Caenorhabditis elegans: one gene and its partner. The protein of the gene in region 2 interacts with the protein of the main gene of each other region in a pairwise test. Each region holds a gene or a part of one and is shown on either strand. Other genes may lie near its edges. The genes, in order: rip-1 and sws-1.

Evidence for each region.
Region 1: the proteins of sws-1 (region 2) and rip-1 interact in a two-hybrid assay, tested with the Caenorhabditis elegans proteins (2 studies listed by BioGRID).

Annotation. Positions count from the first base shown.
Region 1 is NC_003281.10:10,245,622-10,260,570, forward strand, and holds rip-1 (RFS-1 Interacting Partner), read right to left. Parts: upstream 13,121-14,949; 5' UTR 13,116-13,120; coding exon 12,973-13,115; intron 12,631-12,972; coding exon 12,357-12,630; intron 12,307-12,356; coding exon 12,192-12,306; intron 11,691-12,191; coding exon 11,593-11,690; 3' UTR 11,552-11,592; downstream 1-11,551. Other genes in the region: div-1 (DNA polymerase alpha subunit B), read right to left, coding at 1-136, 201-426, 647-826, 1,401-1,580, 1,760-2,088, 2,598-2,778, 2,835-2,925; Coronin-like protein cor-1, read left to right, coding at 3,516-3,599, 4,243-4,350, 4,725-4,977, 5,325-5,947, 6,063-6,126, 6,175-6,292, 6,865-7,093, 7,843-8,049 and 1 more; R01H10.4 (uncharacterized protein), read left to right, coding at 9,302-9,456, 10,039-10,236, 10,286-10,405, 11,261-11,525; BBSome complex member bbs-5, read right to left, coding at 13,251-13,487, 13,873-14,457, 14,569-14,684.
Region 2 is NC_003283.11:18,974,174-18,989,858, forward strand, and holds sws-1 (SWIM-type domain-containing protein), read right to left. Parts: upstream 7,307-15,685; 5' UTR 7,284-7,306; coding exon of another isoform or gene 7,146-7,283; 5' UTR 6,968-7,145; coding exon 6,941-6,967; intron 6,899-6,940; coding exon 6,800-6,898; exon of another isoform or gene 6,755-6,799; coding exon 6,548-6,754; intron 5,452-6,547; coding exon 5,209-5,451; 3' UTR 5,147-5,208; downstream 1-5,146. Other genes in the region: Y39B6A.41 (Major facilitator superfamily (MFS) profile domain-containing protein), read right to left, coding at 1,105-1,362, 1,506-1,622, 3,640-3,803; mrps-35 (Small ribosomal subunit protein mS35 mitochondrial conserved domain-containing protein), read left to right, coding at 7,146-7,283, 7,754-8,120, 9,634-9,983, 11,200-11,442; reps-1 (REPS (RalBP1-associated Eps domain-containing protein) homolog), read right to left, coding at 12,491-12,811, 13,255-13,313, 13,441-13,659, 14,529-14,640, 14,741-15,156.

The DNA of each region.
Region 1 (14,949 bases), on a different chromosome or scaffold from region 2:
TGGATCGGCGACGAAGATCAGCTCTTTCTTGATTTTATCGAGTTTTCGGTTCTGTTGGAACGGAGCACTTGGGAAGACCGGAGGAACACAAAGATCACGGGATGCGTTCGGTTGAATGATCACTTGCGTTTTTGTGCTGAAATTTGAAAATTATCATTTTTTTGCAATTTTCAAGGAAATTCAATTGTTCAAAAACCAACCCGACAAGCGTCTCCTTAACTTTCAAGAGCAAATCCTCCAACAAATTGTCATAGGTAATATTAAAAGTGGGCTTATTCAAAAACGTGTTCTTCTTATCCACAAATGGCCCAGCCAGCATCAAAATATCGGGCTTCTCGGCAACGACTTTGTCCAAAAGCTCACAGAGATGCTCATACCCACAATTGTCCGTCGCAGTGTACGGACCACACGCAAACCAGATTTCTTCTGAAAATTTTGGTTTTTATTGATGTTCGTGGCCGCGTAAAATAGAAAACTAAGCCACCAACATTTTCTCGGCCAGGCTGGAAAAGTTCGAGATTTTCAGGAAAATCGAAAAAATCTTAAAATTTTCGGTTTTCCGATATGTCGGAAAAATTGATTTTTTAGTAATTGCTTGAAAGTTCGGCCATAAAAAACTTTTGTTAACATTGTGCTAAAACCTTACTCGTAGTGTCAGTTTCAACGGGATTCACTGGAAGTGCCGCTGGCTGGAAGATCTTGTCAACTTGAAGCTCCTCGCCAGTCTCATTGGTCCCACGAACAGCGATAATTTGTCCGGGGAAGAGAGTTATATCTTCTGTCATTTTACTAAAATCCATTCGGATCATTGTGCCGTCTTCGTCGTCTGGAATTTTTTAGATTATAATCATTTTTTATTTTCCAAAAAAAATATTCAATTTTTTTTTGAAATCGATTCCAAAAACACTTTTTTTTCGGAAACTTTTCAATTTTTCATAAGTTCCGGGGTTTCTCTATTTTTTGAATACACATTTTTTTGACATATTTTACAGTTTTCTCGCTTTTTTCGTAAATTTTTTTCAAGTTTTTGAATTTCGATTTTTTTAAAAAGATTTTCAAAAAACTTAAAAATTTTCATTAGTTGATTTTGCCTTTTTCATTGAAATTTCGAAAATTTTAAATTTCAGCTTATAAAAATTATTTTAAAAAATTGATAAAAACAAAATTTGTGAAACTTTCGTTTTTTTTTTGTAAAAAAAATTATTTTAAAAAACTCGATATATGTTTTTTCAATTAAAAATTTCCAATTTTTGAGATTTCATAGATTTTTTTCTAACAGAAATCCTAATTAGTTTGAAGTTTAAAATCAAGAAATTCTTTTGGAAATTGAAATTTTTAACAATTTTTCATGGCTAAAATTCAATTTTTAACTAAAAAATCCCATAAAAACGAATTCTCACTAATCATAAGAGCAACAGAATGCTCTCCAAATTTCTCATTATCCTTTGTCTCATCATGAATCACTTGTCCATATGTATATACAACATCAACTGACGGTATCGATGGATTTCCCCAATCGACAATTTCTTCGAATGATTTTTGGATACGGTGAGCGATATCTGCCATTCGTTGTGCTTTTGCTGAAAATTTGTTTTTTTTGTGAAAACTTGAATATTACTCATAAGCGAAATTTGGTGCCAAAAATACGGTAACGAGTCTCGACACGAAAATTTTCGTTAAATGCAAAAAGATGTGCACTTTTAAAGAGTACTGTAATTAGAATTTTTGAGAAAAACATTTTCTAAATAAAAAATTCTACCTTCAATAACCATAGAAGATTTATCTCCACCATACAATGTACTCGGCGTTTTCGAGATAATTCTTATAGTATCATCGCTTTTTGTCGATCCTTTCAATCCTTTATCCTGATACTTCTTCCCTCGAATAGTTGTGACAACATGTGATGGATCGGCTCTTTTCAGGAATTTCTCATTAGCCGGGGAACCGGGAAATGGTGAAAAGTCGAGAAAATGTCCTTCAAGCTTTGCAATCGCTGAATTTGTGAGGTGATGTGACGGTTTTTCAATGTCATCGGGGTCGCCACTTAGGATGAATCCACTTTTTTCTGCGAGCGGAACACGGCCGCGTCTGAAATTTAATGCGGTTTTTTTCGAGACTTTACTTGAAAATTGATATATTATTAGGGCGCAGAAAAATTAAATTTTTATCAAAATGCAAGTGCGCTCTACGGCAAAATGTTGGGTCTCGTTAGGTTTTTTGAATTTACAGTTTTGCCGCCAATACCTAGCGAGACCCAACCGTTGAGGGCGGAGCGTTCTCACTGGGCCGTGAAGCGCGTTTGCGAAAAACTTTTTGAAAAAAAAAACTGAAAAAATTAATTTAAACATTTTTAGATTTCGAATTTTTTAATAACAAAACGAAAATGTCTTCAAAAATCAACAGAAAAAACACTAAATAAATTTTATTTTTACTGTTTTTTTTTTTGAGAATTTTCGTGAAAAAAATTTAAAAAAAAAACATTTAACTGTCGATTTTTCTCATTTTAAATAGATTTTTGCTATAAATTTGAGTTCCAATGCAAAATTCGATGATAAATGTAATTTTTCACTCAAAAATCTGCGATTTCCTTTACTTACGCCGGTTTTTTCACAGATCTCGGCGTGTGCACAGTTTTCTGGGCCTGAGCCTCCAGATTCTCCTCTAATTTCGCCAAAATTCCAGAGTCAACGGACTTTTGCCCAAGATTGCTCATCACCGAAACGACATCATCGACAATATCCTCACCGCTCTTCCGGAACGTTTTGCATAGTCCTTCTACTGCAAAAATTCAATATTTTGATGTTTTTTCCGATAATTATTGAATAAAAACTTACATTTTTCAATAAAATGATCTTTTGCGGGACAATTAAAGCCAAATGGCTCAAGATTATCGTTAAAATCTTCCAAATCGAACTCGTATGCCATTTTATGACGGGAAAAAGGAAGGAAATTGATGAGAAAATGGGTGAGTCGAGTTGAATCTCGCGCGCTCTCCTGTTTTGCGGTAGAGCGCGCTTGCACTGTGAAAATTCGAGCTCCGAGGCACGGAGCCCCCGCAGAAAACAAAGAGTTACTTGGGAAATAGAAAATAGGAGATAGAAAAATAAATAATTTGAACTTTGTTTAGTAAAGTTTTTAAAGTTTTATTATATTACTTCGCGCATTTCGTCACACATTTTTTGTGCACACTTGTCAAGGGTGTTCCGATTCCCTCCCCCGACGTTATCAATTGTGGATTTGCCATAGCCACCGAGACACATAGGATTTTAGCTAAACAAGAGTACGCAGGCATCTCAACGAAAGACGGGGCGATGGCGGGAGCCAACAAAGTGTAACATGGGAGAGAGCACGGGAGCCGACGAGTTGCAGGGGCTCCGGGCTGCCTGCGGGAGAGCAACAGGAGCAGCAGGAGGCACCCGCAAATCCTTGCATATTTACTCCGCTCTCACACACTCTCGCCGTTTTTCGCTTTTGACTAGAAAAGTTGCAATTCTTCAGCCTTTTTCAGATCGAAAATGGCGCAAATCGTCCGGCAGAGTAAATTCCGGCACGTGTTCTGTAAGCCCGTCAAGCATGAGAGCTGCATGTCTGACATTAGGGTAAATCACTAGTTTCATGAAACTCCTATATTATAGAGAAAAACCTCCTAGAAAACTGTGAAAAGCGGATTTTACTACGTAGCCGCAAAAAAATCGGTGGCCGAGTTTTTTCTTCTTCCATCCTTTAAATTTATCTGAAAAAAATTTTTTACAATCCCCTGGATTCGATTTTTGTGGAAATGCACATTTAAGAACGCAGAAAAATAAGAAATTTAAATGTTTTAATTTTTTTCAAAATTTCATAGAACTCCAACACTAAATCAAATACCTTTTTCAACAAAAAAAATTCTGCGAAACATATTTTTTTATTTAACTTTAAATATATGCGCAGTTAATTCAGTTATTTTCTAAACTTAGAGAGTTATTTAATGCCAAAAATTGAATTTGTCACGTGGCCGTGAAAGAGAAAACTCGGCCACCGATATTTTCTTTTGCGTTAAAAATTATTCTGAAATACCAATTCATATTCTTAGAAAAGTTTAAAAAAAGAAAACACCTTTTTTTTTCCAAAAATTTGAATAGATTTTTAAAAGTATAGAAAACTAATTAATAAATAGTTTTTTATTGTTTAAAAAATTTATATATGAAAATACAGTACCCGCTATTTAAAGGCGCCTTAAAAACTTGAATTCAACCTTTTCAGGTCACAGAAATCACTTGGGATTCATTATTCTGCGATGTCAATCCGAAATTCATCGCCTTCATCAACAGAGGGGCTGGTGGACCATTTATGGTCATTCCAGTGAATAAGGTAAGTTTTTTATACAAATAAAACACAAAAACCCCACCTGACAAGTGTTTTCAAATGTTATTTCCGGATTTTTAATTTTTTAATTATTTTTTTCCGAGCATGATGATCAGCAACTCAACAACACCTGTTACCTAAGGGGTCGGAAAACAAAAACTTTTAAAAAATTATTGAATAAACCTTTAGAAGATCAATAATTTTTAAAAAAAAAGTTAACTGAAATTTTGTGAAAAACCTACACCTATAGCTGTGTATCTGCAAAAACACCATTTTGAAATCTTCCTTGGTTACTAAAGTTTTCAATTTCTCTGGAAACTTAAATTGAAGCAGCCGACATTTCACGTTCCTGCTATCCAAAAAATGCCAAATATTTCCAGATCGGTCGCGTCGACAAGGACTATCCATTCGTGGATGCTCACAAGGCTCCGTGCCTCGAAGTCGCATGGAGCCCGTTCAACGACAATGTTATTGCATCGTGCTCCGAAGACACCACATGTAAAGTGTGGGTGATTCCGGATCGTGGGCTCAACAGAAATCTCTCAGAACCAGCTGTCGAGTTGACTGGTCATCAGAAGAGAGTTAACACCATTGCGTGGCATCCGGTCGCTAATAATGTTCTTCTTACTGCTGGTTAGTGAAAATTAAAATTATGGATACTGTAAGATTACTGATGATGTTTTGGGATTTCTTTGGGTTACTGTCGATAAGTTAGGCTATCTAGGGTTACTGTAATATTGGTGTAGACGTACTTCTCGGCAATTTTGCCGCAACTTCTCACCCAATTATAGGTACATTGTTATCAAGTTTAGCCAACTTCAGGTAGTTTTTCAGTGGAAATTTTTGAGGCTTATTAGAGACCAGCCGATCTATGTTTGGACATTTTGTTAGAGTACTATATGATTACTGTACTACCAGAATCTAGAATATCCCTACAGTAACCCAAGTAAAAATGAATTTACTGTAATTTTACTTTCCAGGCGGAGAAAACGTAATGTTTATGTGGAACGTTGGAACCGGAGAGGCACTCCTCGAAATCTCCGGGCACCCCGATCAAATCTGGAGCATCAACTTCAACTTTGACGGTAGTCAATTTGTGACTACCTGCAAGGACAAGAAGATCCGTATTCTTGACTCACACACCGGAGAGGTTGTTCACGAGGGAATGGGTCATGAGGGTGTCAAGCCGCAGCGAGCCATTTTTGTGAAAGATGGGCTCATTTTGAGCACGGGCTTCACCAAAAGATCCGAAAGATTGTATGCTCTCCGAGCCCCGGAAGATCTGTCAACCCCAATTGTCGAAGAGGAGCTGGATACCTCGAATGGAGTCGTCTTCCCGTTTTACGATGAAGATTCCGGTTTGGTGTACCTTGTTGGAAAGGGAGATTGTGCTATTCGGTACTATGAGGTTAACAACGATGCTCCGTACGTACATTATATTAATACTTACACTACAAATGAGCCGCAAAGAGCTGTTGGATTCCAGTCGAAGAGAGGAATGTCGTCGGAGGAGAATGAAATTAATCGGATTTATAAGTTGACTACGAAGGGAGTTGTGGATATTTTGCAGTTCTTTGTACCGCGCAAATCGGATCTTTTCCAGGTATGCGGAGTTTTGAAATAAGGTTTTGTTCTGAAAAGTTGTAGGTTAACAATTTTGGCTCGAAAAATTATTTTGAAAAATTTCCTACAATTTTTTAACTGAACCCATATTCCAGCACGATCTCTATCCGGATACCAGATCCACCATCCCAGCCCTTACCGCAGAAGAGTTCATGGAAGGTTGGCTGGAAATTTCTTTATTTTTTAATTGTCCAGTGTATTTTTCAGGTAAAAATGCTGCACCAAACCGTCAGCCAGTAAATGCAGCCGCTGCTGCAGCTGCCGCCAAACCAAAGGTCCAGGTAGCCAAGAAAGCCAATATTTTGAGCACTTTGGCTCCGACTGCGTGAGTTTTTGAAAAAGTGAAAACGCTTTAAATTTTTAGAGAAAATTAGGTTCGATTAAATTTGTTTTGGAAATTGTAAAGCGAATAAATTTTACTTTTAAGAATATTGAAAACAAACTCGTTTTGAAAATTAAACCAACATATTTTTTCTAAAATGTTTCTTTTTAAAAAAATTCAAGAATGTTTAATAATTCCTACTCGAACACCAAACCACCAAAAAAAAGTCTTCTATTGTGTTTTACAGTATTTAAATAAATAAAAAACTTATTTCCTGCCAAACTTGAAACTATATGGCTTAGAATCTCCAACAAAAAACTGAAATGGTGGCAAAAATCTGAAATAAATATCACATAAAAAACCTTTCAGAAAACATTTTAAAAAATATGAAAATGCCAACAAAAAACAATGCCATTAATCTAAATTTTCGGTTTTCTAAAGAATTTTGTTTTCAGAAATTAAAAATGCTGGAGAGTTGAAAATAAAAATTAATTTTTATTATAATTTCTAATTTTTTGACATAACTTTTTATTGAAAATTCTTTTTCTTTAATATCAAATTTTTTAAAATTCCAGCGCCGAATCAGTACCCACCCAATCCTACTCTGAACGTCCACCGTCATCTCAACAACCATCACCACGTCCATCTGCATCCCCGAGACCTCGTCCAGTTGTTGACGATGATATGGGAATTGTTACAATGAGAGAAGCACCGCCAAGTCGTCCAGCTTCATCAAGAGCTTCTCGAACTGAAATTCCCCCAAAGGAGGAGAGCAAGGTTGATCCAATGAAGCCGAAACAGGCGGTGAGCTTTTTTTTTTGTAAAATTTAGAACTTGAATTAATTTAAAATTTGGTTTTAAAAATTTGCTGTTCTAGCCTTGGAATTGAATCATGGCCTAAAAATTTAATTCTAGTCCACTGACGAGGAAAACTTCTTTCATGACTTTTTTAAGACGGTCAAGAATTTTTATCCCCCAATAATCCCTTTCTATCCCGCTGGAAATATTTTCAAATATGTTATCAAAAACGAGGTCGCCGGAAAATTCTATTCCACCATATTATCAAGCGTGGCTGAAAAAAACTTAGCCCGCCACTTGCAAGGGCGTGGCCTAATTTTCATTTAAAAAACCTTTGCCACGCCCGAGAATGTGGGGGCCTTTGATTTTCAGCTGATTATAACTGCTAAATCTAATAAACTTAAGTCACAAATTGTATTGAAATTCATTTTTGAAACTTCTAGGCCACCAAGTGCTCGCACGTGGCCTAGGAAATCCAAATTTCTCAATGTGAATTTTTCTAGCTCATGTGTATTCAATTTGCGGCCTAGGATTTTCAACTAACAAAAACTGCACATTCATTACTCAATTTTGATTGAAAACCTTGCCAAAATCAATTTTCAAAAGTTCTAGGCCACCAACTGGGCTCTCGTGGCCTAGGGATTTTGCCGATCGCTTCTTTTGAACTAAATTATTTAAAAAAAAACTAATGCTAATGATCCCCACTTCTCCAAAAAAGCACCATCCTATCACTTTCACCTTTTCCATTTTTCCAGGTTCAACTGAAATCCCGTGCCGCCCGTGATGAGCCCGGAGGCGGTGCTCAAACTGCCGGTCAGAGAAGAGCCGCCGCCGAGTTGGAAAGGATCAAGAGAGATCAGTCAAGAACCGCCGATGAGGACAACACTCTAGCTCCACCTCCATCTTCTTCCCGAGCTTCTGCATCGCCACGTGGCAGTGTATCAGCTGCGTCTGACGTAGGGGCACGTGTTTTTTACTGTGCTTACCAACTAAAATGTTGTTTTTCTAGAAAACAAAAACACGTTGACTTTTAACCAATTAGTAAGAAAATTAACAATTTTTGTGGGCCGTGGCCGAGTTTCCAGCAATAAGAATTGGGAACTTACAAATTAAATTTTAATTAAAACAAGCTTTGAAAAATTTCAGTTTAGTGTTTTACTTTAATTTTATTAAAAAAATGTCAAGCAACGTTTTTTTCTAATTTTCAAAAAATAACTATAAAATATGTTTTTCAAAAATAGAAATAAAATTCGAAAAACCAATTTTCCAAATTCATTAACATCAACTGAAATCTTTAAACGCCACGGCCTAGAAATCGAATTCTAGGCCATGAAAAGCCCCACCGTAGCCTAGGATTTTCCCACTACTAAAATGTACATTCTAATATGTTGTTATTGTTTTTGTGTTTTATAATAATATTCGTTTTTCTTCCAAAAATTGGACCGACATATTAAAAATTCAAATTTTTTATTTTCTAGGCCACCAGTAATACTATCGTGACCTAGATTTTGAGAATTTAATTTTTATCCAATTTTGCCCTTTTTATTTTCTAACGAAAAATTAATTATTCAAAAAGTTTTCTTATCCAAAAACGGGTGGCCTAACTTTTCTAAAGGCCCCAGAAAGCCAGGCAACTCCAAAATCCCTTTTTTGTTTCAAAATTTACAAAGGTGTTATAGTGAAAATTCTTGTATAATTTAAAAATTAATTTAAATAAAAAATTTCCAGCACGTGCCTCAGAACATGGATGAGCTTTTGGAAGATCTGATGAAAATGAAAGCTGTGCTTCGGCAACACGAACGTCGCATTCGGATGCTCGAAGAGGAGATTGCTGATCGTAATATGAGCAATGCTTATTCTTTTTGAACATGTTTAATTTTTTGAAAGAAAACTTTTTTTTCGAAAAAAAAAATTTCAAAAAAAATATCGATAATTTTTTATTTGTTTGTTTGTAAAAAGTGTGTTGTATTGTATTGCAACCTAATAAATGGTAACTTTTTCATTTCTCTTTTTTTTATTTTTCATCTATCACTTCCCGGGATTCCGGTTTCTCCCCCTCCCCACAGTGTCCCGAGGAGGCTACGCCGCCTCCACACTTTCGATTCCGACACCCGATTCAGGCGCGAATTTCCCTTATCTTTTCTTCTCGCTTATCAACTACACAAATCCACAATCATCTCAGTCTGATATAATCCTTATAAACTTTCCAAAAATATGGTCCCTCGTTTTCTAGTATTCTCAGTTTTGGCTTCACTTGCAACTGGACCACCGACTGCTGACGCTTTCTTGGCTTCGGCGTTCTCGTCGGTATCTCAGGCGGGAAAAACAGCAAATTGTCATGATTGGAGTGAATATGGACCTTGTTTCAGGTGATTTTTAGGAGAAAAACCAACATTTTTGGTGGGGAGGGTCGTGGGCTCCCATGCAGTTTTAAAAAATTCGCTTGTCCAAAGCTTTTTTTCCCGTATATTTAAGAAACTCTAAACTATCAACAAAATCTATTACATAAGGCGGCAATCATGACGTAACAGCTGAAAAATCGGTGGCCGAATTTTCTCTATGACGGTCCCGTTTTGTTTGTAAATTCCTATTTTTCAAAATTGCTACAAAATTTTTTTTTCAATTTCCAAAATCAATTTTTGAAAACTTTTCTTCTTTAAAGATATTGATATCACGTTTTTCTTATCATTTGACCTTATCATTAAAATATCACCTGAATCTTTAACATAGGTCGACGCTTACCACGGGGTCGCGGGCAGAGAAAACTCGGTCAAGCTCAAGAAATTTGAAAATCATAGCAATTAAACCGTCCATGTAAAAAATAATCAATGAAACCAAGATGTTGGAAATTGTTTTTTTTTCATTTAAAAATCTTCCCTCGTACATAAATCAACACCCACAATGTCAACACATTTTAATGGCCTAGTTTTCCACTGCTCTTCCATTTTCAGCACTGCAGACCGATCATTCTGGCGTACGCTTCCCCAGCAATGCTACCAAAACCGTTACATGTCCCTCATCACAGGAATCGGTAACCCAATCGTTCAGAAAGTGATGGACTACGCGGAGCTCTTCAACAAATCGGCGACGGCATGCGGAATGTGCAATGTTCAAGTCGCGTGTTCACCCAGATGTGATTATGTAGCTGGGTAAGGGTGACAATTGCAACACGCACAACAATAAACAATTCATATTTAGAGGCAATTCAATCGGTGTTGTCGACCGGATTTGTGATCTTCCAACCGAGAAACAGGCGTGCGCAATGACTCCACAGGCATTTGACGAGGACACTGGACTTTGTAGAGTATGGCCACCGAGGTGAACTTTTCATTTTTTTGGTTTTTTGGTTTTTTGAATGTGGAGTAGCCAGGCCAGTGGGGGAAAATATAAAAATCGCAAAAACTTCAAAGTTTTTTGAATAACTTTTATTGACAGTCAAAAAGTGACATCTACTAAGTTTTTTCCACTTTTTGAGAAAATTAATATTTGGAGTATAAGTGAACCATATAATCGAAGGAACACTTTTTTATCGAAGACTTCCAAAAAAGTGGCAAAAACTGAGGTGTTTCACAATTTTCAAAAAATTATATAAAATTTATAACTTTTTTCGAGTTTATCTTAATAAAACACTCCGAAAAATTTTAGTCATACAAAAGGGCAAAGTTGGCAAAGTAGGTAAAGTGCCAAAATTTCAAAAAATTTGACTTTTTGAGAACGTTCGACCAGTCACGCAGATTTGAACCCCTACAATGTTTATTTACAAATTTTTTAAACAATTTTAAAACTAGAGAGTTGTAGAAAAAATACCATTTTTTGATCGAGTTCCAAAATTGCCAAATTGCCATTTTTTGACTGCGTTAAAAATATTTCCAAAATTGTTTACTATCGTATTTAGCCTTTTTAGATCTTAAAAAAGCCATTGGAAATTTTTTTGATCTTTAAATCTTTAAATTTTCCTTTCTTTCTAATTAAAATTTCGAAAATATAGATACCTAGGTTGAAATGGATTTTTTAATAGTCGAGAATTTAGCTGAAATTGTTGTATTCTTTTTAAAGTAAAAAACTTCGCTATTGTTCAATTAAAAAAATACCAAAAAAGTGTGTCAAGACAATTTTTATAATGGTGGACGAGAAAAAACTGAACCCCTAAAATTAATTTTTTTTAAATTCCAGACATACTACAGCCGTGGATTTCCTTGGTGCAATTGTCCCACCAACAATTCGAGATCAAGTATGGTCCTTAAAACCGCTAAGCTGCATCAGTATAAGCGGAAAATGTTATTGTTGCTGTGCTCCGTATACTCCAAATCCATGTGATGCTCAATGCACACTTCATCCATGTTCCCGGCGGCAAACATTTTCAAAGACTCAAGTCAAGATTTTGAGGCGAAAATGGCTTCAGAAACAAGAGGAGCGACGTGAGGAAGAGGAAGAGTGATTTAATTTAAATGAAAAAATCAATAATAAATTTTGAAAATTCATTTAATAAAAACCTTAATAAAAGTCTAAAAACAATTTGAAAATTTTTCTTCGTTTCCATCAAACAATAGCACATTCTTTGTGTAGATTGATGCGACTCGCTTGAGCTTTTCCAGGAATTCTTCTGAAAATTTTTTAAAGTTTTAAGGTACTTTCCAGAATATATTTTCTGAATTTGGAAAATATAGAAAACTCACTTTAAAAGAATCTGGTAATTTTAAATGGGTCAAGGCTGAATCTGAGAATCCTAGGCCACCATAGAACGAGTGGTGGCCTAGAATTTTTCAGATCTAAGAATTTGGTAATTTCTTAGACCTCGGCGTTGTTCAGTGTCACAAGTGTTTTCAGGAAATTTGCAAAATTACGTATTTTCCTGGGAATAAAAAAAATTACAGCAGATTCCTGGAGTGAGTCAAAAACCCTAGGCCACGGTAGTACGCGAGGTGGCCTAGCATTTTCAGTAAGTTTTCAATAAGTTTTATTCAAAACACATCGAATAAAACTTATTGAAGTTTATTTACGATTGGAAAAACACTAAACACACTATTCGAAAATGTTAGGCCATGGTTTACATAGTTTCAATTTGATTGAAAATTTTTATTTCGGCCGGCCACTTTTTGTTTACCTTGAGTTTGAGTTTCGCGAGGCTCATTACTCAATTCCTTTGGATTTTCCACGATTTCTTCCTCCAGAAAATTCGCATTCTCAAATGGATCAGATTCCTCAACTCCTTCCTGCTTCTAAAACCATTATCAGTTATAGTTTATAGTTTGTAGTCTACAATCATTACCTCATCATCATTATCATCTCTCAAATCAATCACGACGACCGCGCGGCCGTCATCTACATTACAAAAATTGGCGAGTGCGGCGAGAAGGCAACCGAGTTCCGGGCAGTCCTGCGGGATGCTCATTGAGCAGAAAATCGCTGCGACTTCAGAGCCGATGCTTGCTTTGAGCGCTATGTCGATACATCCTTGCAGAAGCTTCTTGGAACTGTAACCAAAGCGAATTCTTCGCAGAGCGCCAGCTTTCATCGAGAACTCCACGTCGATTTCAGGGATTCTGAAAATGAAATTTGAAGTTTCCCTATCACCGAAAAACGAATTGTTTCAGTCAAGTTTTGAGTCACTACCCGCTATGGAGATCAATTCTGTATAATTTAAAAAATCAAGTGGCCGAGTTTTTCCCCATTTCGCGACCACATATTATCATATATGTTACGAACCACGTGGTATTAGGCTGTCCCATTACGGATTGATCTACAAAAAATGCGGGATTTTTTCCTAAAAATGTGACGTCATCACACTCTTAACCATGCGAATTCAGTTGAGAAGTCTGCGTCTAAGCTCCCGCGATTCTCGTAGATCAAACCTACATGGGACATCCTGACACCACGTGACAAACCTCTCCAACGCTTTCCGTCTCGCCCAGAAAATCGTATCATCCGGATTCTGGTCCGCCCAGCGGATTGCCTTGGCAAATAGGTGATCATCGATTTTCGGGGAATCAGTAAAAACTACCGTTAGGGAATTGCACGATTCTGACATTCTGGAATTGATCTACTCTGAGTGTGGCCTAGAATTTCACAAATATGTACACGTAAAAATTACGGCAACTGAATTTGATATAACAAAATGTTAGTTCTCCAAATAAATATATTCATCTTCAGAAAAAAAAAAACGTTATACATCAACATGAATATTCCAAAGATCATGAAGAGTGAATCCGTTACGAATCGGTTCAATCGCCAATCCCAACTCGGGGTTGAGCACCGGTAGCTGCTTCTCGTCAGTCGCGGTGTGCTCCCCGTCAAAGTATGAAGCAAACGCGTCGGGACGGATTTTATCGTCGATTTCTACGTCATCTTCGTTGTTGTCTATGATGTCGATTTCATCGTCGTCCTTGCGGGGCTCTACTTTCTGTAAATGTTTGGTTTTATTTGAACGTTGCAAAATTTTCTAATTTTGCTGAATCATAGGTCAACTTTTGCTGAGTGATCACTTTTATAAGGTGTGGGAGCGAAATTTTGAAAAGGGTCGAAAAAATTGAGCATTGTGGTTTTTGAGGCAACATCCAAAGTTCAGGGAAAGTTCCGCTCACGGCAGTTCAAGTAAGTAGGGTACTGTAGTTTAGGGTAGGATCCTACGTATTGTAGAAACTATAAATTATATAGCCTATAGGACGAGTTCCAAAAAGCCTTTATTTGAAAAATCTGAAGATGATTCTTCATTGAATCATGTAGTAAGGTGCACTAAAACAACATAATGCTAGGAAAGTCGGTGACGTTTTTCATTTTAAAAATACCTCGGCAATCTCCTTGACATACGAAACTCCAAAGATTGGCTTCAACAAATGCGCCTTATGAAGTGATTGTACAGTTTTCAGAAGATTTTGTAGACGTTCAGCAGGATCAACTCTGAATCCCAACACGTACTCTCCGCTGCTGGTAGTTGTCTCAAGAACCAGCGCCATTCCAAACTTGGACTCTCTAACTCTGACTGAATATAGAGTAATGTAGGGGACCGAAACATTGTATCCGATGTTCATCTCTGCGTACCAAACGACACGAATATTCGTGATCACAAAGACTCCGAGACTTCCAGTCTCCGTCGACAGATTCCAGACACCGTTCACCTTCTCGATGATCGTCTCTTGTGGAAGGATCTTCAGAGTTCCGTCCTCACGAATAAACACCCCGCGCATTTTGAGCTCTCTGTACATTTTGGTGGTCTCGTAGGCTCTGCTGATTGATGAGATCGTATTGAAAAGTTTCGAATGAGATGCAGGATTTGTGGTGGTGAAGATGAACTCAAATTTTGTAGTGGTCGCCGAGACTTTGGCAAGTACGTAGATTGCTTCATTGGATATACCACGGTTTCTTGTGACTAGCTGAAACTTTTTTCTTGGAAGTTAAAAAAAGATTATGAGTTTTGATAGGTGGCCGCGAAAAGTAAAACTAGGCCATCGATTTTTCGTTGCGAATTCGACAGTAGAACCCACCGAAGTAGTCTGTTTGCTCTGTACTCCGGTGATCGCATTCCACCCAATCGTGATATTGATCCGAGGCATTGAGGCGGCATGCCAGATTAGGCGTAAGTTGGTGACTCGCATCGTTCCTGAAAGTGTGTCAATTTTTCAAAAAAAAAATCGCGCTTCTTTCAATTTTTCTCTAGTCTAGAGTTTGTAAAGTATGGGCGACCCTAAAAAGAAACGATGCAAATCTGCAAATCGGCAATTGCCGAAAAATTGCCGGAATTGAGGGACGAATTTCCGTTCTAATTGTGACAGCGATATTCAATTTTATTTCGTTTTTTCTATTGTTTTGTTATTTTTTGTATTTTCTTTTAATATCGTATCGATTGATCAATGACTTCGGTAAAT
Region 2 (15,685 bases):
TGGAAATTAGTTTAAAGCTCTCAGAAAACTTGAAATTTAAGGTTTTTCCAAATTTTATTATTTTTGTCAATTTTCGGCATTTCAAAAATTATAAACATGAAATTTCAACAGAATTTTTAAATTTCCGATAAAATTCTGCTTGAAAAAGTTTTCTGGAGCTTTTTGGTCAAAAATTGTAAAAGTCGGATTACTGTAGCCCCATAAGTACGCAAACACTGGCTACAGTTCCCCAAAACACTGAATTTGACGACATTTTACACTAAGCTTTGAAAAAATTGTGATTCGGGGTAGAAAAAATGAGTAATTGGAAAAATAAGATTTTTTCTAGAAATTCGATGATTTTTTCAAAAAAAGTCAAATTTTGCTCTCTTTTCAAAATTTTCACGATTTTTTCAAAAAAAGTCAAATTTTGCCCTCTTTTCAAAATTTTCACGATTTTTTGATACAAAATTTGAATTCCCCGTCACTTTTTACCTTTGAGCCCCAGTTTTCAGAGGTTTAGTGCAAAATTGCGTAAAATCCAGTGTTTTGGAGTACTGTAGTCGGTGTTTGCGTACTTCCGAGGCTACAGTACCCTGTAATTGTCAAAATCGAGCTAGAAACTTAGAAAAAAATGTGGTAGACGTGAAATTTGATGAAAAACTCAAATTTCACAATATAAATTCTAAAGTTAAAGTCCGAAATACCGAAAAATTCGAAAATCGCAAGTTTTCATATTTTTCCAACATTCCCAAGTAATTTTCAACACGAAATTCGAATTTCCCGTCACTTTTCACCCTTCTACCCCATTTTTCAGAGTTTTAGTGCAAAATTCCGTGAAATCCGGTGTTTTGGGGCACTGTAGTCGGTGTTTGCGTATTTTCGAGGCTACAGTACCCCGGAAAGCTCAAAATTGAGCTTGAAGCTTGGGAAAAATAGTTTAGACGTGGAATTTGATTGAGCATTTGAATTTTTATAAAAAATTGCAGAACAATTTTACGAAAAAATTTAAAAAAATTTTTTTTCGAAAATTTGAAAAAAAATGTTTTTTTTTGAAAATCAATATGCTTACTAAAATAAAGACCCAATACTCTTAAAATTTCAAATTATCATTCAAAAACCCACCACAAGGCCTCATTTCCCCATATAGAGGGAAGACACAGCGGAGTGACCAAAAGTGTCATAATAACCCCTCCGGAATTAATAAAAAGTGAAGTTAGTCCTCTTTTCGAATCAGGTGAACATTCAGCTATCCAAATTATTAAAACTACACGAAAACCCTGTAACATTCCGGCAATTAGGTGACCAATCACGTAGAATTCGAATCTGTTCAGTAGGAGGGAGGTGAGCATTGCCATTGAGCCAATTATTCCTAGGAAGCTTCTGGAATAAACATTATTGTAATAATGAAACATTGAATTAGAAAATAGGAAAAAAATTGGATATTAAAAAAATTAAAATTAAAAAAATTTTGCGAAAATTTTTTTTTTCAAAAATTTTTTCTCCATATTCCAAAAAAACCATACCTTAGTAAAATTGTCTCTTTCCGTCCAAGACCATCCATTAATTTTCCCATAATCGCGAATGAAATCGCCAAACCGATGAACATAAATGAGGCGCATGCCGAGAAAATTGTCTCGAAACTGAAATAGAAAAAAATATTGATTTTTCGATTAATTCTGTTAAAATTATCAATTTTTCAATACAAAATTTGAATTCACCGTCCCTTTTTACCCCTATATCCCCGTTTTTAGGGGTTCAGTGCAAAAATCCGTAAGATCTGGTGTTATGGGGTACTGTAGTCGGTGTTTGCGTACTTTCGAGGGTACAGTACCCCGGAAATGTCAAAATTGAGCTAGAAGCGCAGGAAAAAATGTCGTAGATTTAAAATTTGACGAAAAATCTGAATTTCACATTTAAAATTCTCAATTTAGAGTCCGAGATACCGAAAAACGAAAAACATTCAAAAATCCCAAATATTCTTTTACAATTTTCCAACATTTTCAAGTAAACTTTAACGCGAAATTTGAATTTCTCATAACTTTTTACCCCTAACCTTTAGTTTTTACGGTTTCAGTGCAAAATTCTGTAAGTTCTGGTGTTTTGTCCGAAATACCGAAAAATAAGAAAAATTTAAAAATCACAAACTTTCATGGTTTTCTAATTTTTTCTAGCAATTTTCCGTGCGAAATTTGAACTCCCCGTCGTTTTTTACCCCTAACCCTTAGTTTTTGCAGTTTTAGTACAAAATTTCGTCAAATCCGGTGTTTTGGGGTACTGTAGTCGGTGTTTGCGTTCTTCCGAGGGTACAGTACCCCGGAAATGTCAGAATTGAGCTAGAAGTGCGGGAAAAAAGCACGAGTACTTAGTTTTTACGAGGATTTCGATTTTAATAAAATTTCTAAGCAAAAAAAAACATTGAAAAATTTTTTAGAATTCTTTTTTTGAAAATTTTCTGGTAAAAATCCAATTTTTCAATTTTTTTTAGACATTGTTCATAGTCTAACCTAATTGAACTTATTTCTGTACTATCAACTGATAAGAAAATTAAACGTAAAATCGTAAATTTTTTATCAGAGACCTACCATAGTGCACCAATTCCATGTGATTTTTGAATATTTTTAGAAATTATGTTTTTCCGCATTTTTTCATTGTTGCACTGGTCGGTAAACAATAATAATTATGGAGAAATTATTGATTTTGATCATTGGTTTTGAGTGACATCATTTTTAGAAAACTTTTTTTTTTTTTTAATTATAAATTGAAGCAATAAATCTAATTTTCCTACTTTCAGAGCAAATATTCAAAAATTTTAGCAAAAAAATCAAAATCACCACTCAATTTTGAGTATAACTAGCTTTTTTCCCGAGCTTCTTACAATTTTAAGTTTTCGAGGGTACTGTAGCTTCGGAAGTACGCAAACCCCAACTACAGTAACCCAAAAAAAAATTTGACGGAATTTTGCACTGAAACCCTAAAAACTGAAGGTTAGGAGTAATAAGTAAAAGGGAATTCGACTTTTTCATTAAAAATTGCTAGAAAATTTTGGAAAATTGTGAAATTTTGCGATTTTTGAATTTTTCTAATTTTTCGATACTTTGTTGGACTCTAAATTTAGGATTTTCAATGTGAAATTCGAGTTTCTCATCAAATTTCCTGTCTAACACATTTTTTCCTGGGCTTCTAGCTCAATTTTGAAATTTTTCAGAGTACTGTAGCCTCGAAAGTACGCAAACACCGACTACAGTACTCCCAAACACCGGATCTGACGGAATTTTGCACTACAACCCTGAAAACTGAAGGCTTGGGGTAATAAGTGACGGGGAATTCGAATTTCGCATTGAAAAATCGACAATTTCAACGGAATTCATAGAAAATTCAATATTTTCTCGTTTTTTTTTAAATTTTCAGTTTTAAGCTTTTATACGAAAATTTAATGATTTTCTAGACTTCAGTTCAATTATTTTTCGAATTTTCAACAGGAAGTTCGCTATCCCGCTATTTTTGTGCAAAATGTCGTGAAATCCGGTATTTGGGTACTCCTGGGCCTACAGTACCCAGCGAAATTTCAAAATTGAGTTGAAACCTCCGGAAAAAATTTAAGTTGACCCAAATTTAATGAAACACTTGAATTTAAGCTTAAAATTGGCAAAATCTTACGTCTCCTCACTCTCAACGCCGTAATTTTTGCGTAAACTTTCTCGAAAAAATCCCTTAATCGGAACATTCATCAAATTCAAGCAGGCGGCCATAATTTCTCCGTATTGTGAGAAAACAGCATGTGAAAGTGTTGCCCAAAACAGTCGTCGACTACAAAATTTCATCTGAAAATGTTGGGTTACTGTAGTTTTCGTGGTGGGACCTAAAAATGGGAAAATTTCCAAAGCCTAGTCACGATTATACTCATTCGAACCGCATTTAAGTTTTGATTCTGAATATATAAGCGACTTGAAGATGTTACAGAAATAGGCAAAGTTATAGTAGTTTTTGTGTTTTCGTGGTGGGACCCAAATTAGGAAATTTTTGAAAATTTTCAGAACCTAGTCATGAGTATACTTATTTAAACCGTATTGACGTGCTGAATTCGAATTTCTTACTATCGTAAATCGAAACGCAAAAGCTAGAGAATTTTTAGTGTTTTTTTTTTTTTGAAAAACAATTGGAATTTTTCGTCGAAATTTAAATAAACGAATTAAAAAGTCCGTACAAGCAAAAACTTTTAAATCAATAATCAGTTGGAAAGTTCGACTTGCGGAATCGGAGAAAAAAATGCCCGCAAGAAAAAAAATCAAAAATCGGCGACCTGGAGCCAGCTGCCCCAAAAAAAAAGAAATTTCCCTTATCAGCGCCCTGTCTTTCGTCATTTTTATCAAGTAGTCATCAAGTTCAAGTAAACATTCGGGCGGTGCCAGGTGTTTAGCTGATCGTGCCAAAATTGGAAGATCATTTTTTTGGAAAAATCTAAAAATAAATGTTTTTTTTTGTGAAAAAATATTATCCAAAAATTTTTTGTTAGGTACTCAATAAATATGTATTGTTATCAAAAGTTACTAAAATTCTAAAAAAAATCTACAGAAAAATTAATCCCGCAACGAAAATAGCCAAGCTACAGAAGCTTCGTGGTGGGACCCAAAATTAAAAAAAAATTACGTTATCTTCGAAACCTAGTCATGATTATACTTATTCGAACCGCCCAGAAGTACTGAGGTTGAATATATAATTTTTTTCAAATTTCGACAAAAATTAGCCGAGTTACAGTAGTTTTTGCATTTTCGTGGTGGGACCCAAAATACTAAAATTTCCTAAAATCATCAAAACCTAGTCATGATTAAACTTAAATTGACCGGAATCGAAAACTAAATCTGCATTTTCAAGTAAAATTAGGTTACCTAGAAAATTTGAAAGAATATATTATAAAAACTTAGGAACAAAAAAATTTCGGAAATTTTTTTTTTTGCAAATTTTCCAAAAAAAAATTTAAATATAAAATCAAGTTCTAAACCATTTTTCTTTGTTCTCTGTGCACTTTTCCCCCTTCCAAGTAATAGTACTTCTTATCAGTTTCTTTTGTCTTTTTAAAGTGTCACTGACAAAATAAGTTTCAGCCTGGCTAGAGGTGCCTGGAGTTGGAAAAGGCTTTTTTTGTGATTAAACAAATTAAATTAGAGAATATAAGCTTTATGAATAATATATATATAAATAACAACAAAAAAAACCATTTAAAAAAAATCATTTTTTCTCCTCCAAAAAAATCGATCTTATAAAAATTTTCTTCACAAGTCCAACTATTTCGGATTTACACTCGATCCGTTCGATTTTTCCGAAATTTTTGGCGAAATAGTATGCCAAAATGTGAACACAAATCCAATTAGTTTGCTTTTGAAGCACGGTTGACTGGAAATATGGGCAGGTGCAATAATGGACGCCAGGGTACAGAAAATTGAGGTATTCCTTCTTTTTGTAGTGTTCTACCTGAAACAACGAAAAAATTAGCGAGAAGTGGAGAAATTTTGAATTTGGGCGCTGCTCAGACTACAAAGACTACAAAATTTTAGTGATTTTTAACGAAAACTTGATAAATTACAACGAATTTACGAAATTTTCGCTGAAATTCAACGAAATTAGCAAAAAAAAATAAATAAAAATGAGGTTATTTTGAATTTTTGCGCTGCTAAGACTACAAACTACAAGTTTTGGGCGCTGCTAATTTTTTGGGCGCTGCTAATTTTTTGGGCGCTGCTAATTTTTTGAGCGCTGCTAATTTTTTGGGCGCTGCTAATTTTTTGGGCGCTGCTAATTTTTTGAGCGCTGCTAATTTTTTGGGCGCTGCTAATTTTTTGAGCGCTGCTAATTTTTTGGGCGCTGCTAATTTTTGGGCGCTGCTAATTTTTTGGGCGCTGCTTAATTTTTGAGCGCTGCTAATTTTTGGGCGCTGCTAATTTTTTGGGCGCTGCTTAATTTTTGGGCGCTGCTAAATTTTTGGGCGCTGCTAATTTTTGGGCGCTGCTTATTTTTTGGGCGCTGCTAATTTTTGGGCGCTGCTAATTTTTTGGGCGCTGCTAATTTTTTGAGCGCTGCTAAATTTTTGGGCGCTGCTAATTTTTTGGGCGCTGCTTAATTTTTGGGCGCTGCTAAATTTTTGGGCGCTGCTAATTTTTGGGCGCTGCTAATTTTTTGGGCGCTGCTAATTTTTGGGCGCTGCTAATTTTTGGGCGCTGCTAATTTTTGGGCGCTGCTAATTTTTTGGGCGCTGCTAATTTTTTGGGCGCTGCTAATTTTTGGGCGCTGCTAATTTTTGGGCGCTGCTAATTTTTGGGCGCTGCTAATTTTTTGGGCGCTGCTAAACTACAAACTACAAGTTTTGGGCGCTGCTTAGACTACAAACTACAAAGCGCGCTGCTCTGAAAACCGAAAATATCGATTTTTAAATCAAAAATTGAAGTTTTTAGTGGGAAAAAGGTAGTTTTTAACTCAAAAATTCAAGATTTTCCTATTTTTAAGTCAATTCTTCTCTTTTTCCTGGAAAATAATCGTTTTTTAAACATTTTTTTAATAAAAAATAATATACTTCAATAAAACATCGCTGTTTCTCCCGTTTTTCCTTCTCTTCCACCGTCCATCTCTCGACTTTCTTCGCATTTTTCAGGTTAAACTCGCTTTTCCAGTCGAAAACTGTTTTCTCCTGGAAATCTTCAAATTTTCGACGTTTATTATAGAATTCTGGCTTTGGAACTGCCAATTCTCGTACTTTTCCACGTTCCATTAGCTGGAAACTCTGAAACTTTGAAGTTTTTTGGCTGAAAATCGGGGTTTTGCGAACTGTGGCTGCTGCCTCGTGTTTTACGAGTCCTTCGATCTCGGCCAGGGCTTCTAAGTAGTCATCTGAGCTGCTGGATTCGGAAATTACAGCGAGAAGTGTCTGAAAATGACTAGAATTTTGGAAAAATTCAATGGTTTTTACCTTTTTTGTCAGCTCGAAAACATCCATCTTCAAATTCCCGCTCAAAATGAGCCTGGGGACTAGTTCAGAGTTTCCTAGGCCACCGCCGGTGTACTCCTCTCCGACAACGGGTTTTTATTTTTTTTTTAATTTTCGCTCAATTTTCTTCGATTTTTCGCGATTTTCTTTCAGATTTTTGCAATTTTTTTGCAGTTTTCAGGTAAAAATGCACCGCCTGACACACGTGAGCACTCGAAATCGATCGAGTCTCGCTGAAAAGCTGCGAAACGCCGTCGGAGGTCAGGATTTTGGAAAAGCCAAGCAAATCGTCGCCGGTGGATCGATTGCGGTGAAGGATGAGCATGTATGGAGGATTTTAATGAAGAAATAGCTGGAAAAAGACATTTAGAAATCGAAAAACGGCTCGAAAAATTGATTTTTCAGCGAATTTTACTCCAAAACTCAATTTTTGTCATTTTGGGAGCAATTTTACCCGAAAAAAGCTAAATTTCACTAAAATTCATAATTTTCTCGAAAATTACTCAAAAAAAAACACCCAGAAACTGCAAATTTCACCGGATTTTCACAATTTTTCGAAAATTTCAGAAAAAAGTTCGAAAATCCACGTGGAAATCTCAAAAAACTGTCGATTTTCCCCATTTTTCAGCTATTTTTCTGGAATTTTTACAAATTACTGATAAAAACTCTCAGAAACTGCAAATTTTACCGGGTTTTCGCAATTTTCTGGGCAATTTTTGTGGAAAAATCCACGTAGATATCCTCAAAAACTGTCGATTTTCTTCAATTTTGCACCAAAATCCCCCAAATTTTCAGGGTGAAGACTTCCGTGAGCTCTATGTAATGCCAAAACGAAAACTTCGCGGTCAAACTCAACTGGAACAAGCCACTGGACGTACCGAATACAAAACTCGAAGCCGGTTCGATTTAATGGACCGCCTAACAAAAAGACCGCCGAGAAGTGAAGAAATGGATCCAGAAGCACAGAAATGGTGTGATGTATGGCCAGCTGCACGAACATTTGCATCGTCTGTAGTTCCGTTACCAGTTCGAATGGGCACACGGCCAAATGTTGAGAAGCGAGCACCGTTTAAGAAGGAAGGAAATTTGGAATTGGTTAAAATTCCCAATTTCTTACATTTAACACCACCGGCTATTCAACAACACTGTCAAGCTATCAAAAGTAAACTGAAATTTCGCATTATTAAAAACACTTAATTTTCATCAGTTTCATAGAAAAATTGACAAAAAACAGTGAAATTGGCTTGAAAAATGGAAATTTTGCTGAAATTCACATATTTTACCGAAAATTTGACTTGAAAATGCCAATTTTCACATATTTTTCTCAAAAATCTACGTGGAAATCGATGCTAATTTTTTTTGGGCGCTGCTTAGACTACAAACTACAAGTTTTGGGCGCTGCTAATTTTTGGGCGCTGCTAATTTTTGGGCGCTGCTAATTTTTGGGCGCTGCTAATTTTCAGGCGCTGCTAATTTTTTGGTCGCTGCTAATTTTTTGGTCGCTGCTAATTTTTGGTCGCTGCTAATTTTTGGTCGCTGCTAATTTTTTGGTCGCTGCTAATTTTTGGGCGCTGCTAATTTTTTGGTCGCTGCTAATTTTTGGTCGCTGCTAATTTTTGGTCGCTGCTAATTTTTTGGTCGCTGCTAATTTTCAGGCGCTGCTAATTTTTGGTCGCTGCTAATTTTTTGGTCGCTGCTAATTTTTTGGGCGCTGCTAATTTTTTGGTCGCTGCTAATTTTTTGGTCGCTGCTAATTTTTTGGTCGCTGCTAATTTTTGGGCGCTGCTAATTTTTTGGTCGCTGCTAATTTTTGGTCGCTGCTAATTTTTGGTCGCTGCTAATTATTGGTCGCTACTAATTTTTTGGTCGCTGCTAATTTTTTGGTCGCTGCTAATTTTTAGGCGCTGCTAATTTTTTGGGCGCTGCTAATTTTTGGGCGCTGCTAATTTTTTGGGCGCTGCTAATTTTTGGGCGCTGCTAATTTTTGGGCGCTGCTAATTTTTTGGGCGCTGCTAATTTTTTGGGCGCTGCTAATTTTTTGGGCGCTGCTAATTTTTAGGCGCTGCTAATTTTTTGGGCGCTGCTAATTTTTTGGGCGCTGCTAATTTTTAGGCGCTGCTAATTTTTTGGGCGCTGCTAATTTTTTGGGCGCTGCTAATTTTTTGGGCGCTGCTAATTTTTTGGGCGCTGCTAATTTTTAGGCGCTGCTAATTTTTTGGGCGCTGCTAATTTTTTGGGCGCTGCTAATTTTTTGGGCGCTGCTAATTTTTAGGCGCTGCTAATTTTTTGGGCGCTGCTAATTTTTTGGGCGCTGCTAATTTTTAGGCGCTGCTAATTTTTTGGGCGCTGCTAATTTTTTGGGCGCTGCTAATTTTTTGGGCGCTGCTAATTTTTTGGGCGCTGCTAATTTTTTGGGCGCTGCTAATTTTTAGGCGCTGCTAATTTTCAGGCGCTGCTAATTTTTTGGGCGCTGCTAATTCAATTTTGGGCGCTGCTAATTTTTTTTAGGCGCTGCTTTTGCTAATTAGAAAAGTCTGCAATTTTCAGCGTTTCTCATCAAAAATTTAAGTTTACAATATTTTTTCCGCGTGGAAATTAATATTTCTCGGAATAAATTCTAAAAATAAACACAAAAAACACCTGTACTATATAGAAATTTCTCTATATTTTTTCAGAATTCTGTACTCCATTCCCACCGGAACTCCTCTCCAATCCATCTGCCACGTGTCAACATCTTCCAATTTCCATAGAATATTCTACATACATTCATCAGGGAACTTCAATCCGTGACATTAGAAGCCGTGTCGTAACTATGAAAATCCACGTGGCAGAGCTTAAATTGTCGGAAAATCAAATGGAAAAACTGATTCGACTGGCCGCAAATCGATATGACGAAAAAACGGGAAAAATGACAATTATCACTGATAGATGTCATACGAGACAACAGAATCTCGATTATGCACACTATTTACTAACTGTGTTATATCATGAAGCTCAAAAAGTCGAGAAATGGGATGAATTGAAGGTAGAATTGTGGCGGCGAAATTCTACCAATACTAGAAATATAGAGCTGAAAATCTAAAAATTCAGAAAAATTGGGTGAATTTCGTTTAAAAAAAATCGATTTTCGACATGAAACATGAGTGTAAAAACGCGTTTATATAACGTTTTCCAGGGATTTTAAGAAAACAATTTTTTTAAAAGTTATTTTTTCGAAAATTTGAACGTTTTCTAGAGATCTTTATCAGAAAATACCCGAAGATTGAGCTCTGATAGTTATTTCCCGGTTTTTTTTTTGGTTTTTCCCGAACTTTATCGATTTTTGTGAAATTTATTGATTTTTCTGAAAATTTATCGATTTTTCTGTAAATTTATTGATTTTTATTGAAAATACAGTGATTTTTCTAAAAATTTATCAATTTTTCTGAAAATTTATTGATTTTTCCGGAAATTTATTGATTTTTCCGGAAATTTATCGATTTTTCTAAAAATTTATCGATTTTTCTGGAAATTTATTGATTTTTATTGAAAATTCAGTGATTTTTCTAAAAATTTATCGATTTTTCTGTAAATTTATTGATTTTTATTGAAAATTCAGTGATTTTTCTAAAAATTTATCGATTTTTCTGAAAATTTATCGATTTTTCTAAAAATTTATTGATTTTTCTAGAAATTATCGATTTTTCTAGGAATTTATCGATTTTTCTGGAAATTTATCGATTTTTCTGAAAACGTATCGATTTTTCTAAAAATTTATCGATTTTTCTGGAAATTTATCGATTTTTCTGAAAATTCAGTGCTTTTTGTAAAAATTTATCGATTTTACTGGAAATTTATTGATTTTTATTGAAAATTCAGTGATTTTTGTAAGAATTTATTTATTGATTTTTCTGGAAATTTATTGATTTTTCTAAAAATTTATCGATTTTTCTGGAAATTTATTGATTTTTATTGAAAATTCAGTGCTTTTTGTAAAAATTTATTGATTTTTCTGGAAATTTATTGATTTTTCTAAAAATTTATCGATTTTTCTGGAAATTTATTGATTTTTCTGGAAATTTATTGATTTTTATTGAAAATTCAGTGATTTTTGTAAAAATTTATCGATTTTTCTGGAAATTTATTGATTTTTATTGAAAATTCAGTGCTTTTTGTAAAAATTTATTGATTTTTCTGGAAATTTATTGATTTTTCCGGAAATTTATCGATTTTTCAGCCAAATTTCCAATGTTTTTTTCCAGAACCGCACCGACGCTCTGAAAGTTGAATTCGATGGCTCCAACACCAAAACCAAACTCATCGATTTACTGGAAAAAGCCAAGTTGACGCCTGGATTAAGCCCCAGCGCCGCCGGATGTGGAGATCAAAAATCGATTGACGAATTCGGAGAAATGTGGAAAGCCTATAGAAATAGCGAGGAAACTGTCGAAAAAACGCGGGAATACGGTCGTCAGATGAAGAAATTACTCGGAATTCAACAATAATTTACTGTTTTTTTTTAGTTCTGCTAAGATTATTATACATTCGTCACGAATGTGTAATAATTTTTTTTCTCGAAAATTTTTTGTTTTTTTTTTGTTATTCTAGCAGTTTTTATAATAGATCCCTCAAATTCTGTCAAAATTTGGAATTTTTTCCAAATTTTTAGCCGGATCTGTAATAATTTTTTTGTCCGAATTTTTTAGATAGTTCCCATCTTTCATGTTATTTCATTTTTTTTTGGAAAAATTTATATATATATATTTTCCAATTTTAAAAAATAGTTATTTTTAATGTGTGTAAAAATCAATACATACTTTATGATTTTTTTTTTCAAAAAAAAAAAAGAAGATAGTGTAATAGATTAAATTATCACAGAAAATAGAAAAATTGATGCTTATTTTAAAAAATTACAACATAGGTAAAAATGAAATATATATATGACATATCACAGAAATTATGAAGAAATATGCAGATTTTTTAGTTTTTTGCGGGGAATCTGGGGGAGAAATTGGTGGGAAATTCGAATTTTTGATAGAAAATAATTAAAAACTTTTTTAGAAGTTAAATTTAATTTCGGGAAATACCTTTTTCTCAGAAATTTTTGAAAATTTGCTCTAAAATGGGCAAATTTCATGTTTTTTAATGCGAAAAACCAGAAAAATCAATAAATTTTCCATAGAAATCGATAAATTTTCAGAAAAATCGATAAATTTTCAGAAAAATCAATAAATTTTCAGAAAAATCGATAAATTTTCAGAAAAATCAATAAATTTTCAGAAAAATCAATAAATTTTCAGAAAAAATAATTTTCCATAGAAATTGATACATTTCGAATTTTTTTGTTATTTTCCTAACCAAACGTAATAAATCTTTAAAAATTCTATTTTTCCAGCTAAAAATTGAGTTTTTTCCAAAAAAAAAATTTTTTCCGGAAAATTCGAAATAAAATGTGTTATTTCCTAGTTTTTCAAGCCGAAAAAAATTATTTTTTTCCTATTTTTCCTCAAAAATTCGAATTTCCCATCCATTTTTCCTCCACCGGGGATATCATTAAAGTGTAGAAGAAGAGCACGCAGTTTTGGATCTCTCTTCAAATTCCTGAATTCGTATTTCCAATTGAATCCGTACTTGAGCCAACCGTGCTCTTTCGGCTTCTAATTCCGAATTTTGAGTCCTCAAAGCTGTACAACGTTCCTTCCATCGTTCAATTCCTTGCCCATCAGTTGCCTGAATCTCTTCTCCAATTAAATCGTCGATTTGATGGCCGATTTTCGAGAAAAAGCTCTTCACATCTTCCTCAGAATAGAGTAATTCTGTAGTTTGTGTTGATGAATCTGTTGTGGTAATTCGTTTTTCCTCTTCGATGACTCTCTGCAAAAATATTGTGAATTTTTGGAGATTTTTCAGTGAAAAATTTGAAAAATTTGAAGAAAAATGGTTAAAAATGAGTATTTTTGAATTTTGGCGCTGCTAAAACTACAAACTACAAGTAAATTTTTAGCAGCCCGCCCAAGAAATTAGCAGCGCCCAAGAAATTAGCAGCGCCCAAGAAATTAGCAGCGCCCAAAAAAATAGCAGCGCCCAAAAATTAGCAGCGCCCAAAAAAATAGCAGCGCACAAAAAAATAGCCAAAAATTGTTTAAAAATCATATTTTTGTGATTTTCAACCTGTTCAGAAAATAAAAACTACACTAATTTTCGATTTTATCGCAATTTTGAAAAGTTTTTCTTAAAAATTCGTTAAAACGAATAATTTCAAACTTTGGGCGCTGCTAAGACTACAAACTACAACTAAAAGCTTTCCCTTAACTTACCGGTAGAGGTGACGGTGTGATTCTTTGTGGAATCGGCGGTGGAATACTGTCCGGGGTGGCTGAAAATTTGCGGAAATTGGGAATATTTTGATTTTTTCTCGAAAATTGAAAGCAATATATTTTTTGAAAAATTCCAGTTTTTTTAAAATTTTTTTCGAATTTCTGCCCAATTTTTCAGTCTCATACCAGGAAAAGACGCAAAAGTAGTCGTAGTCGTTGTAGTACTAATCGATTGAGCTGTCGGATCGGAATGTGATGACCAAAGTGATAGGGTAGTTGGTGGTAGCTGGGATTCCGCCGAGGCTTTTGTCTTATTCAATGCAATCAATTTCAAGTCAAGACTTGCACTTCTGTTGTGTCCACGTTGTTGTTGTTGTGGGCGGACAGGTGGAATTGGTGGGGGTCCTGAAAATATGGATTATTGATTTCGGGCGCTGCTCTTAGATTGCAAATACTACTAAATATTGAGTGTTGCGTGTTTTAATGAACTTACTTAATACTTAATACTTATTAATACTTATTTAGGTAATTAAATAACTAAGTTACTAACTACATACTTACGTAGTTAGTAATTTAATTACTAAGTTACTAATTAAGTACTTATTTAGATGATGATTAAATAAGAAAATTAGTAGTTAAAAACTCACTCTGTTACTAATTAAATACCCACTTAGTTAGTAATTAAATACTCACTTAGTAGCAATTTAATACTTCCTTAGTTACAAATTAAATAACTACGTTACTGATTAAATACTCACTTTGTTACTAATTAACACTAACAGGGTTAGTAATTAAATACTTACTTAGTTATTTAATTACTAACTAAGTCACTAATTAAATACTTCCTGAGTTATAAATTAAATAACTATGTTACTAATTAAATACTCACTAAGTTAGTAATTAAATTCGTATTGAGTTAGTAATTTCATAACTAAGTTTCTAATTAACTACTTACCAAGTTATATAATTAGCAACTCAGTAAGTATTTTAATTACTAACTAAGTCACGAATTAAAAACGTACTTAAATAGTTATTAATTAAATAATTAGTTACTTAGTCAGTATATAAATAACTATGTTACTGATTAGAAAACTAGGTTTTCTAAAACATTTGAATCGAAAACTATTGTAGTTTTTGTAGTATGACTGCTATTCAACTAGCAATTTTTCGAATAAATTATTATTAGTCAATAATTTAAACTTTTTATATTGTGTTCACACATTTGAGAAGTATAATAAACACTACAACAATTTCTTCAATGAATCCAAACTTACCCAGTGGACTCTTAAGTGCTAACAATGCAGAATGCTTGATAGCTGTTGGCCTACTGTCCACTAATAATGGCGGTGTATCCGAGAATTGTTTGATGATTGGCTGGTTTGCCCACTGGAATTGGAAAAATTCGAAATTAAAAAAAAAACGTCGTTAATGTTTTGAATGATGATACATATTCAAAAGTCAATTAAATTATTTCAAAAACCCCCACATTTTTCACTGGCCCATCAGCTTCTACATGTCCTGCACCGGCGGGACTAGGCGTCGCCGCAACTGTAGACGGAGCCCGTGGCTCTGTAAGTGGTGGCCGCGCGAAACCGGGTAGCACATCAGGAATCGGAACTTCTCCTTTCACTTTCAACACTACTAAATGCATCGCAATCGAGAATTCGTTTAAATCCAACCATCCGTCTTCATTCACATCGGCCAGCGACCAGATTTTCGATAAAGAGCTCATATCCAGCGAGCTTCTCTTGAAAAACGCTACAATTCGTTGATCGGCTCCGCAAAGGGCTCCGCAGAGGTCTGCGGCGCCTTGAGTGGTTTTTATTAAGTGACGGAAGCATTTTGTGTAGTATTCCTGCTGTTTTTCAGTGATTTTGAAGAGAGAATCCGCGTTGGAATCGGCTGAAAATTGGGGAAATTTGGATTTTTTCGAGTTTTTTAGCTTTAAAACCGAAATAATTTCGATTTTTGCAATTTTCCCTGAGAAAATGTGCTTAAAAATAGAAAAAATCGATTTTGGCGCCGCTAAACGGAAAAGCAGCGTCCAAAATTGTGTAGTTTGTAGCTTTAGCAGCGCCCAAAATTGTGTAGTTTGTAGCTTTAGCAGCGCCCAAAATCTTGTAGTTTGTAGTTTAGCAGCGCCCAAAATTGAATTAGCAGCGCCCAAACTTGTAGTTTGTAGTTTAGCAGCGCCCAAAATTGTGTAGTTTGTAGTTTAGCAGCGCCCAAAATTGTGTAGTTTGTAGTTTAGCAGCGCCCAAAATTGTGTAGTTTGTAGTTTAGCAGCGCCCAAAATTGTGTAGTTTGTAGTTTAGCAGCGACCAATATCTTGTAGTTTGTAGTTTAGCAGCGCCCAAAATTGTGTAGTTTGTAGCTTTAGCAGCGCCCAAAATTGTGTAGTTTGTAGTTTAGCAGCGCCCAAAATCTTGTA